2 linked regions of the Oreochromis niloticus genome follow. The protein of the gene in region 1 purifies or fractionates together with the protein of each later gene. This does not show direct contact. Links are inferred from orthologs where the notes say so. Each region holds a gene or a part of one and is shown on either strand. Other genes may lie near its edges.

Region 1 (3,925 bases):
TGTCGCTTTATGTCTGTAAAAGGCGCTTTATGTATAAATATTACTTTTTCTGTAATTTTTTTACTGCACAGAATCTGAGCATCTGGATTTGATTAAAGCTCTACAAGGGCAAGATCCAGACAGAAAAGAAACCAATGAAACTAAAGAGGGGCAGCCAAGAAGGAGACATGCAGTAGGTTAATATGAGCTGTCAGGTCGTGATGCAGATGAGAGGGGAGAGTCAAGCAGTTTGGGAAGTTTGATTCTACAATAATGCTGCTGTACCCTTAGCAGTGATATCATATATACATTCATGCAGTGGTTCAGTGTTTACTGCCTCACAACAAGAATGTCCTGTATTTGAAACCGGGTCGTTCTTCTTGTGTCAGCGTGGGTTTCTCCCACACTCCAAAGACATGCACAGAGTTAAGTTAATCAGCAATTCTAAATAGAGCGCAGGTGTGAATGTGAATGTAATAGCCCTGACAGATCCAGGTGTACTTATTTCTTGAATTATGACAGCTGGGATGGCCTCGCCCACAAGAAAAGATGGCCATTGTTTTTGAAAGCATTTGATCAGCAAGATTATTTTCCAGAAAGATGAGCAAGGTCACATTCTTCCTCGATGACCCCGTATTTCATTTTTCTAGTTAAAGAGAGACACTGAAGTGACCTTTGTGGGTATGACTGTTTGGACGCCACATTGCTACTGTAGAAAGACACAAATGATGCCACATTATTAATGTACATGACGGAATATGATTTAAGAGTTACGATAATTCGTCACTTAAACATTTAAACTAACTTTTAAACTAAAATAATCAATTTTTTAAAAATGTAATAAGTTTTTTTTTCTATTGATGTAGTATTTGTTTCTAAATTGAGTGACTTTCTACAATTATGATATGGGTTTCTTAATTTAATTTGGGGGAATTAAAGAAAATTTCCGTTTAGTCGTGATTAAACTCATAATGTATGGTTTAAAAGTGCATAAACCTACCAGCAGGACATAATCCGAGGACTTTCCCTACAAGTGGGCGGGTCTGTTTCTTCGTCAGGTTAACAGGAAATATCAGTATCAGGAAGTTGAGTGTTTGGAGATTTGTTGTGTCGCCAAATGTGCTGCAGTAGTTTTTATTAAAGTTTTACTCATTGAAAGCTCGGATACACACAGTAAACCTGCCGTTTAAACACAAAAAAGGCGTGAAAACGCGTGAACGCTGCGTGTGGAGTCTAAGGTAGGACTTAGGAGTTGAAATGTTGACGCTTTTCTCCTTGAAAATAAAACCCGAAGACTAGTTCCAGCTCATTTTATATGAACAAAGAAGTACAAAAGAAAAGTACATTTTTGTGTGTCGGTGAATAATATTTTTATAATGAGTAAAAGGTTGGCGGTATATTTACTGTAAGTCAGTCTATGAAGCTTAAAACGAAACCCCTCAAGCATGTAGCGCCCCTGTAGTGTTTAATGGGCCTCTTAATAGTCTGCGACTATATGACAGCTAGTTTTCTTTATATACACGTAGCGGGCTTTTTTTTAATAAGCTGGACTCGCCTATAGGAATGTTTATATGTATGTTTAGTCTCTTTTATTGCAGCTGCTGTAAAACATAAACTCAGTGTTTATGTAGTTTCACAGTTTGGAGAGCTTTTATCTCATCCATCAGACCCCTACAGTCACATTTATAACAATACTGATAATACAATAAATTCCCAATTAGATTTTTTTTTTTCATTTTTTATAATAGGTTAATTAGCTTATGGGAATTCATACAGCTTTTTGTTACTTTTTTTTGCTTTCTAGAAGCCACCAACACTGTTGTTTCTGTTTCTGTATACACGTGTTATCACCTACAGGACAAACACAGCATTTCTTTTCTTACTTTCCCTGACCAATAGGCAAGTTACTCATTTTTACCAAATTAATGTTTTACTCTTGGACATTTTACTCTTACTCTTTGGACATTCGCTGCTTTTTCTCTCATTTTTAGTCTAGTCCTTGTACCTGATCATTTTCAGGGGAATGTTTGGTTTGTTAAGCCACTTAACAGTGGCCTATGAATCATTCAAAAAGGCACCTAACCCAGAAATGAGCCAGTGTTTTGTTTACATATAACATAGCAAAGAACTAACTTAAAATTGTATATTCAGACGCTAAAGGTCTTTTGCAAAAACACATTTGTTCCCATTCCTTTAGATGAATTTACAAACAAAACAAAAACAAGGGCATAAATGTTGGGGATAAAATGTTTATATAATGTTTTTGCATCAACCAAGTGATTCCCAAACACCGATCAGTCAAACGGTTGGCATATTCTGGCATAGTGTGCAGTGTGTTTGAGGAAACTGGACAAGTGGAAGGCAAAAGATGAAGTTGCAAGACTAAAACTCATGTTCTTAGAAATGGGAAATAGTCCAGCAAAGACCTGACACAGAAGCTGCGAGATGCATCCTGACCTTCAGTCGATCCACCTAATGTTCACTGACGCCTCATCAGAAATGGTCTCAGTGGAAGCGTGGCTATTCTTAAGGAAGGGAAATGGGGAGAAAAGGCCAACACGAGAACTGAACTGAAAAGTTAGTGGCAACAGCTCTGACGGAGTGATGAACCAGACCTGAAAATTCTAGTTCCAGTCGTCGTATTGAGTGTCTACAGCCATCTATAAAACACGGTGGAGAGTCAGTCATGGTTCTGGGCTGCATTTAATGGAATTATGAACACAGACAAGTACTGTCAGACTTTGAGCCATCACACTGTACCATCTGGAAAGAATCTAATTGTCTATGGCTTCGTTTCTTTCAGTAATCCCAAACAGTGCTAATGCAGGAAAGACAGACCTGGGTAGAAAAACACAAGATAGGAAGCTTTCAAGATTGTTAGAATCGTAGAAACTGTTATGTTATTTTGTATCTCTATGTGTGTTTGCATGTTTCAATCAATCAATGCACCTATTATCAGTTTTGCTAGCAAAATATAAAAGGTTGACTCAAGACCTTTGCATGTTCCTGTACAAACCAGAAAACACTGTAGGTCTCAGAGCTGAGAAGCTTGAAACAAGGCTTTTTTTAGGCATTCGTTCAAGACGAAGCAGTTAGTTATTTGCTTGAGTACTGGTTGCATGCTCAGACAAATGCATACTCCCATGACATTTTTCAGGACAAACGCAACATTTTAGCCTTAGTAATGGGTCATGACGGATCCACTATTTTTGTTGTTTTAGGTGTAGGTGAGGAGGTCATGAATCGAGTACCCCTGCAGCAGCCGCAGAGCTGCGGGCCCTGGGAGCTGAAGGAGCGGCTCGGCACCGGGGGCTTTGGGAATGTCACAAGATGGCAAAACAAGGTATTCACTCCACATACTTCTAGCATATTGTTACATCTTTGAGAATCTTATATCTTTAGGACATAATAGACAGGAAAGAGGATGTTTGAATAACAAACTATTACACTGACAAGATAATTCAACATGTCCTGCTGGAGTTTCCGGGAAGCCATCGGCTCTTACCACTGCTGATCAAATTTTAAAGTTAAGGTTTTGTTTAGATGCAAATAGTCATTTTAAAATGGAATCAAAAATGAAACTTCACTTGTGTGTTTCCCTCTTTGTGTTTAGTAAAACTTTAAAATGAGGAAAACTTCCTCAACCTGCTGAGGCAAATCTTCCTTGTTCCTCCTACAGCGAAAGCTCATGTAAACAGTATAATGACCGTGGAGGTGGATTAGCTGTAGGGTACAAATTAAACTCATCTTTTAGCTAATGTTTGTTTGTATTTCACTAAGATGACACTCGTGGAATTGTGTGAAAGAATGTATAAACAGCTCTCACTGGATTATTTTGATACTACAGAACTCTTGAGGATAAAAATATTAGGTCCCCTATGAAATTCTAAGTATTTTAGTTTTTAAAAGAGTAAGTAATTTTTAAACTTGCTAGTTTTCTTCAGAA
Region 2 (3,925 bases), on another chromosome or scaffold:
CCTGTGGAAAATATCCTGAGATCATCCACCCTTGCTGTCTCTGTGGTCTTTTAGTCTTTTTTTTGTGCTGCCAAGCACAAAATAGTTTTTAAAAAATCTACTAATTTCTACTGATAAAGTTGAAGCTCCACCTCTGATGGTGGAAGTAGGGATGGTTTTGCTTTTGCAGCCCGTTTCGCTTGCATTACCGGCTCCATTGACCCCATGTTATGGTGTAAATACATGTCATATTTTACTTGCTTAATTTATAAAGAACTGATGAAGGTTAAGTCCACACATGCTGCTTTTAAGTCAGATTTTTCTTTTACACATAAAAATAGGGAACTAAGTATAAAAATAACTGTAATTCGTCAACAAAATGTATTATTTTTGTTAAAACCTAAAGCCTGCTTTTAATAACGCCTACCATAAATAAGGTTTTTGCTGAGTTTTGTACTTCTTAACTTTATCTCTTGCTGGTTTTCATAGCTGTGAAAGTTATTTGTGAGGTGTTACTTCAGATTTGAAATGAGAGCCACCTTGACTTGATCTGATTAAATTTACATATGCCACATTTCCAATTACTGGCCTGGTGATATGAGTCAGTCACCTACCAGCAAAATCTTCCAGGCAGTGCTGTACTGAAAATGCAAATTCAGGGTTGTATTAGACTGAAAAGAAGCATGTTAATAGGAAATGTAATTCTGCAACGGAATCACCCAGTAAAAGCTGAAAATCTATTTGAATCTATCTGTTTCTGCAACTGCAGGTGCAGCGAGCCAGTTGTTGTTGTTGTTGTACTGATAAAAGAAGAGTGAAGGAAATAAAGTGTGCGCTCCTTACCCCCACCTGTAGTTTTCTTTTTAAAGCACACTGATGTGCATAACGAGCGATAACAAGCAGGTGGGGAGCTGATTACAAACTTAAACCCATTCTTCAAACCAGAAGAGCAAACTTTGAACTCCAGTGCTGTGAAATTTATAGACAATGATGCAGAAATCATCGAATGTGGTTCCTTTTGAGAAGAAAATTGCAGGAAAAAGTGGCAGCATTGAAAGAGTTGGAACGAGCTGATGCTGTCGGTCAGTGAGAAAAAGGCTGATTTTAACAACCTAATGGGGCTTCAAGATTTAAGATGTTTGTGTTTCCTACACCTCTGTGGTGTGATGCTCATGAAACACTCACGTTATTTACTTAAATATACTTTCTAAAATAACACAATGGACTTCAATAAACACCAGATGCTGCACAGCTTTTGAGTTGATGCCCATGATGACATCCTAAAGGCATTGCCCTCTTTTTGTCAGAGCAACAGCTCTCTAAACCTAAGTGGATTTAAGCAGGACTAACACAGGGGTCATTGTTAAAATAAGCTGCCCCAATCCCTTTGATTACTATTTAGAACTATTTTCCCTCACATATAAGAACACAAACACACTTTTGTGTTTGTCTTCGAACAGAAGCCGTCAGATCTCTGTGATGCACTCGTGTGGGTGATGTTTATCTACTTCCAAACAGCCAAAATACAGAATAAACAGACTTTACTTTGCAGTGTGCGCTATGAGAAAACACAATGTGTGCTGGCATCTGAGGTGCCACCACCCGTTGTTCCTCAAATGCCAACACCCCCCCCTTCGCCCCTGCCCATCCTCAAACCCACTCATGGAGGTACAAAGAAGGTCAAGTGCGAGTGATCCGGTGCTGGAGACCTTTCAGAAAGCTTTCATGAGAGGGGACAAAGTCTAACGAGCCTCCCACCTGACCCTCTGTACCCAGCGACATCAAAGCACAGCATGCGCTTGCTTTCTGAAGCAGCTAAAGGAGGAGGCTGGAGAGCTTTGTTGTTACTGACAGGGGGTCCATGTGTGTGGCAGAGGCCTTTCACCATACAGTAGCTGCTGCTTCGACACTCAAAGCATCCCTGAAGCGGTCACTCATTTAAAGACACACAAAGAGCTGACCCTCAGCAGCTAACGTCAGCGAAATACATTGCTTAGTTTGACACTGCGACTACAGGCCAAAACCTTTAAAGGTCAACCTACACTAATGGCTTCATTAGAGGCTAAACCATAGCATGCAGACACAATATTGCACAATGCTGGCCCACATTATTGACCAATATCAGCCTATTACAGACATAGTGGTGCAGGAGGAACTTCTACATAATATAATGGAAAAAAAACTGTGGCATTGTGAACTCAGCGCTATCTAAACTAAACAATAACACCATAATTGTTTAATTTCAATGTAACTCTAACAGACTGCATGAATATTTCTATAAAAAATGGCAGATGAATAAATATATAATTTTTTTTTCCGAGTTTCTCAGTTTAAGACCCCAAAATCCAGCCGTATTGATCAGGTTCTTATGATTTACTGTGTAAATTGGCTCAAATGAATTTCCGCTCAATCAGCTCCAGACAGTAAAATGCTGTGAGTGTATTTATGTATGTTGATGCATTTTCTCATACTTTAAGTTTAAAATGATGTCACCATTTTGCAATTTATCACCTTTACTTGTGAGTTTGTTATTTATAGAATTGTTTTGTTATTTTTATGTATTGAAAGACACCTATAAATAAATTATGCCTTATTTTATTGTTCAGTATTATGGCACAAACTACCTAAATGCAGAAGTGGGTAACCCCAGATCAGCTTCCTGTTTACACAATAGTAGTAATAATAATAATAATACAGTAGTTAATCCACAAGGAAACCCCTACATGTAAGTATTTTTAGTTTAGCATTTTTAGTGTATTTGTGTTCATACAAATGTATAGTTACTAAAGGTGTTAAGTGTGACTCACACCCACATACACACACGCACACCCACACACACACTTACACAACTTTATAATACTCTAAATACAGATGTTTTCTTGTCAGTGAATGAATGCAGATTATTTTCACCCGTTCTGTGTTTCTAAAAATAACATCACCACCTAATAGCAAACGTGCGTTTCGCAAATTACAAAGCAGACGCTTAAAACCTAAAAAGTGTGGAGAAATGTTTTTCTCTCGCTCTAGTTATTGACTAAAGTTCAGAAAACTCGGGGTGGAAACCAAAGGAAAGTGTACTGACCTTAGAGACACAACAGTGCCCGCTGAAGTTTAGAGCTCGCAGCTGAAGCTGCTCTCCATCCGAGCGTTTGTAGACCGGAGGGAGCACAGTGGGCGCATTTAAGCGTGATATCACGTGGCGTTCACGGACTGTAAGGATATTCTCACTTCATGAAAGCGGTCTGAAGTGATCAATCAAATTTACTAAAACAGCATAGATGATGTTTCAGTTTTGCTGCTTTACTGCCTATTTGAACTAATAAATAAATAGTTTAAATAGGTGGTCAAAATTAAAATACGATAACCAATTAAATGAAATGCATCATACCAAATACTTTACCTAAGCACAACTCTGTCCTTCAATAGTTTTGGTGTCAGCTGATTTTCCCATTGGCTTAGAAATATTTATTTGCAGAAGTTGCATTTCCGAGCACACAGTGAACGCAACTACCCCATCGCAGCGTACGAAGTGAAACTTATTGGTGAAACTACATAAAGAAAAACACCCTGACTTCAAGGCAACATTCAGAGAGCTTTGATGGAAAAGTTTTATTTTTAATGTTTGCGAGGGAGTACCCAAATTAGCATATTTAATATCAACCCTTAATATCATTGTCGATTCACCTGCTTTCCCTGTAAGTCGACTGAGAGACGACTCTAATACACATGTAGCTCATATGTTGTGGGTTTGTACAGCTGACTGCCTAATATACTGTGAAACCTTTAAGCTGGGCTGCTCGGTGAGTTGATAAAGGAGCAAACATCCTACAATAACAGAAATGCTGTTGTTGGTAGTATTAATACCCAGATCACGTGGTTACCTGGTGCTACCTGGTGGATAAACAGGAAAAAGACAAATAGATTTATTCTGTGAAAAGTATCACTG

What was found.
Region 2: the proteins of ikbkb (region 1) and prkcq purify together in Homo sapiens (affinity purification with western blotting; 4 studies listed by BioGRID). This does not show direct contact. The link is inferred for Oreochromis niloticus from reciprocal best matches to the Homo sapiens genes IKBKB and PRKCQ.

The regions. Positions count from the first base shown.
Region 1 is NC_031977.2:25,966,421-25,970,345, reverse strand, and holds the start of ikbkb (inhibitor of nuclear factor kappa-B kinase subunit beta), read left to right. Parts: upstream 1-1,036; 5' UTR 1,037-1,217; intron 1,218-3,200; 5' UTR 3,201-3,217; coding exon 3,218-3,322; intron 3,323-3,925.
Region 2 is NC_031981.2:17,752,460-17,756,384, forward strand, and holds the start of prkcq (protein kinase C theta type), read right to left. Parts: upstream 3,150-3,925; 5' UTR 3,062-3,149; intron 1-3,061. UniProt on the Homo sapiens protein: Calcium-independent, phospholipid- and diacylglycerol (DAG)-dependent serine/threonine-protein kinase that mediates non-redundant functions in T-cell receptor (TCR) signaling, including T-cells activation, proliferation, differentiation and survival, by mediating activation of multiple transcription factors such as NF-kappa-B, JUN, NFATC1 and NFATC2.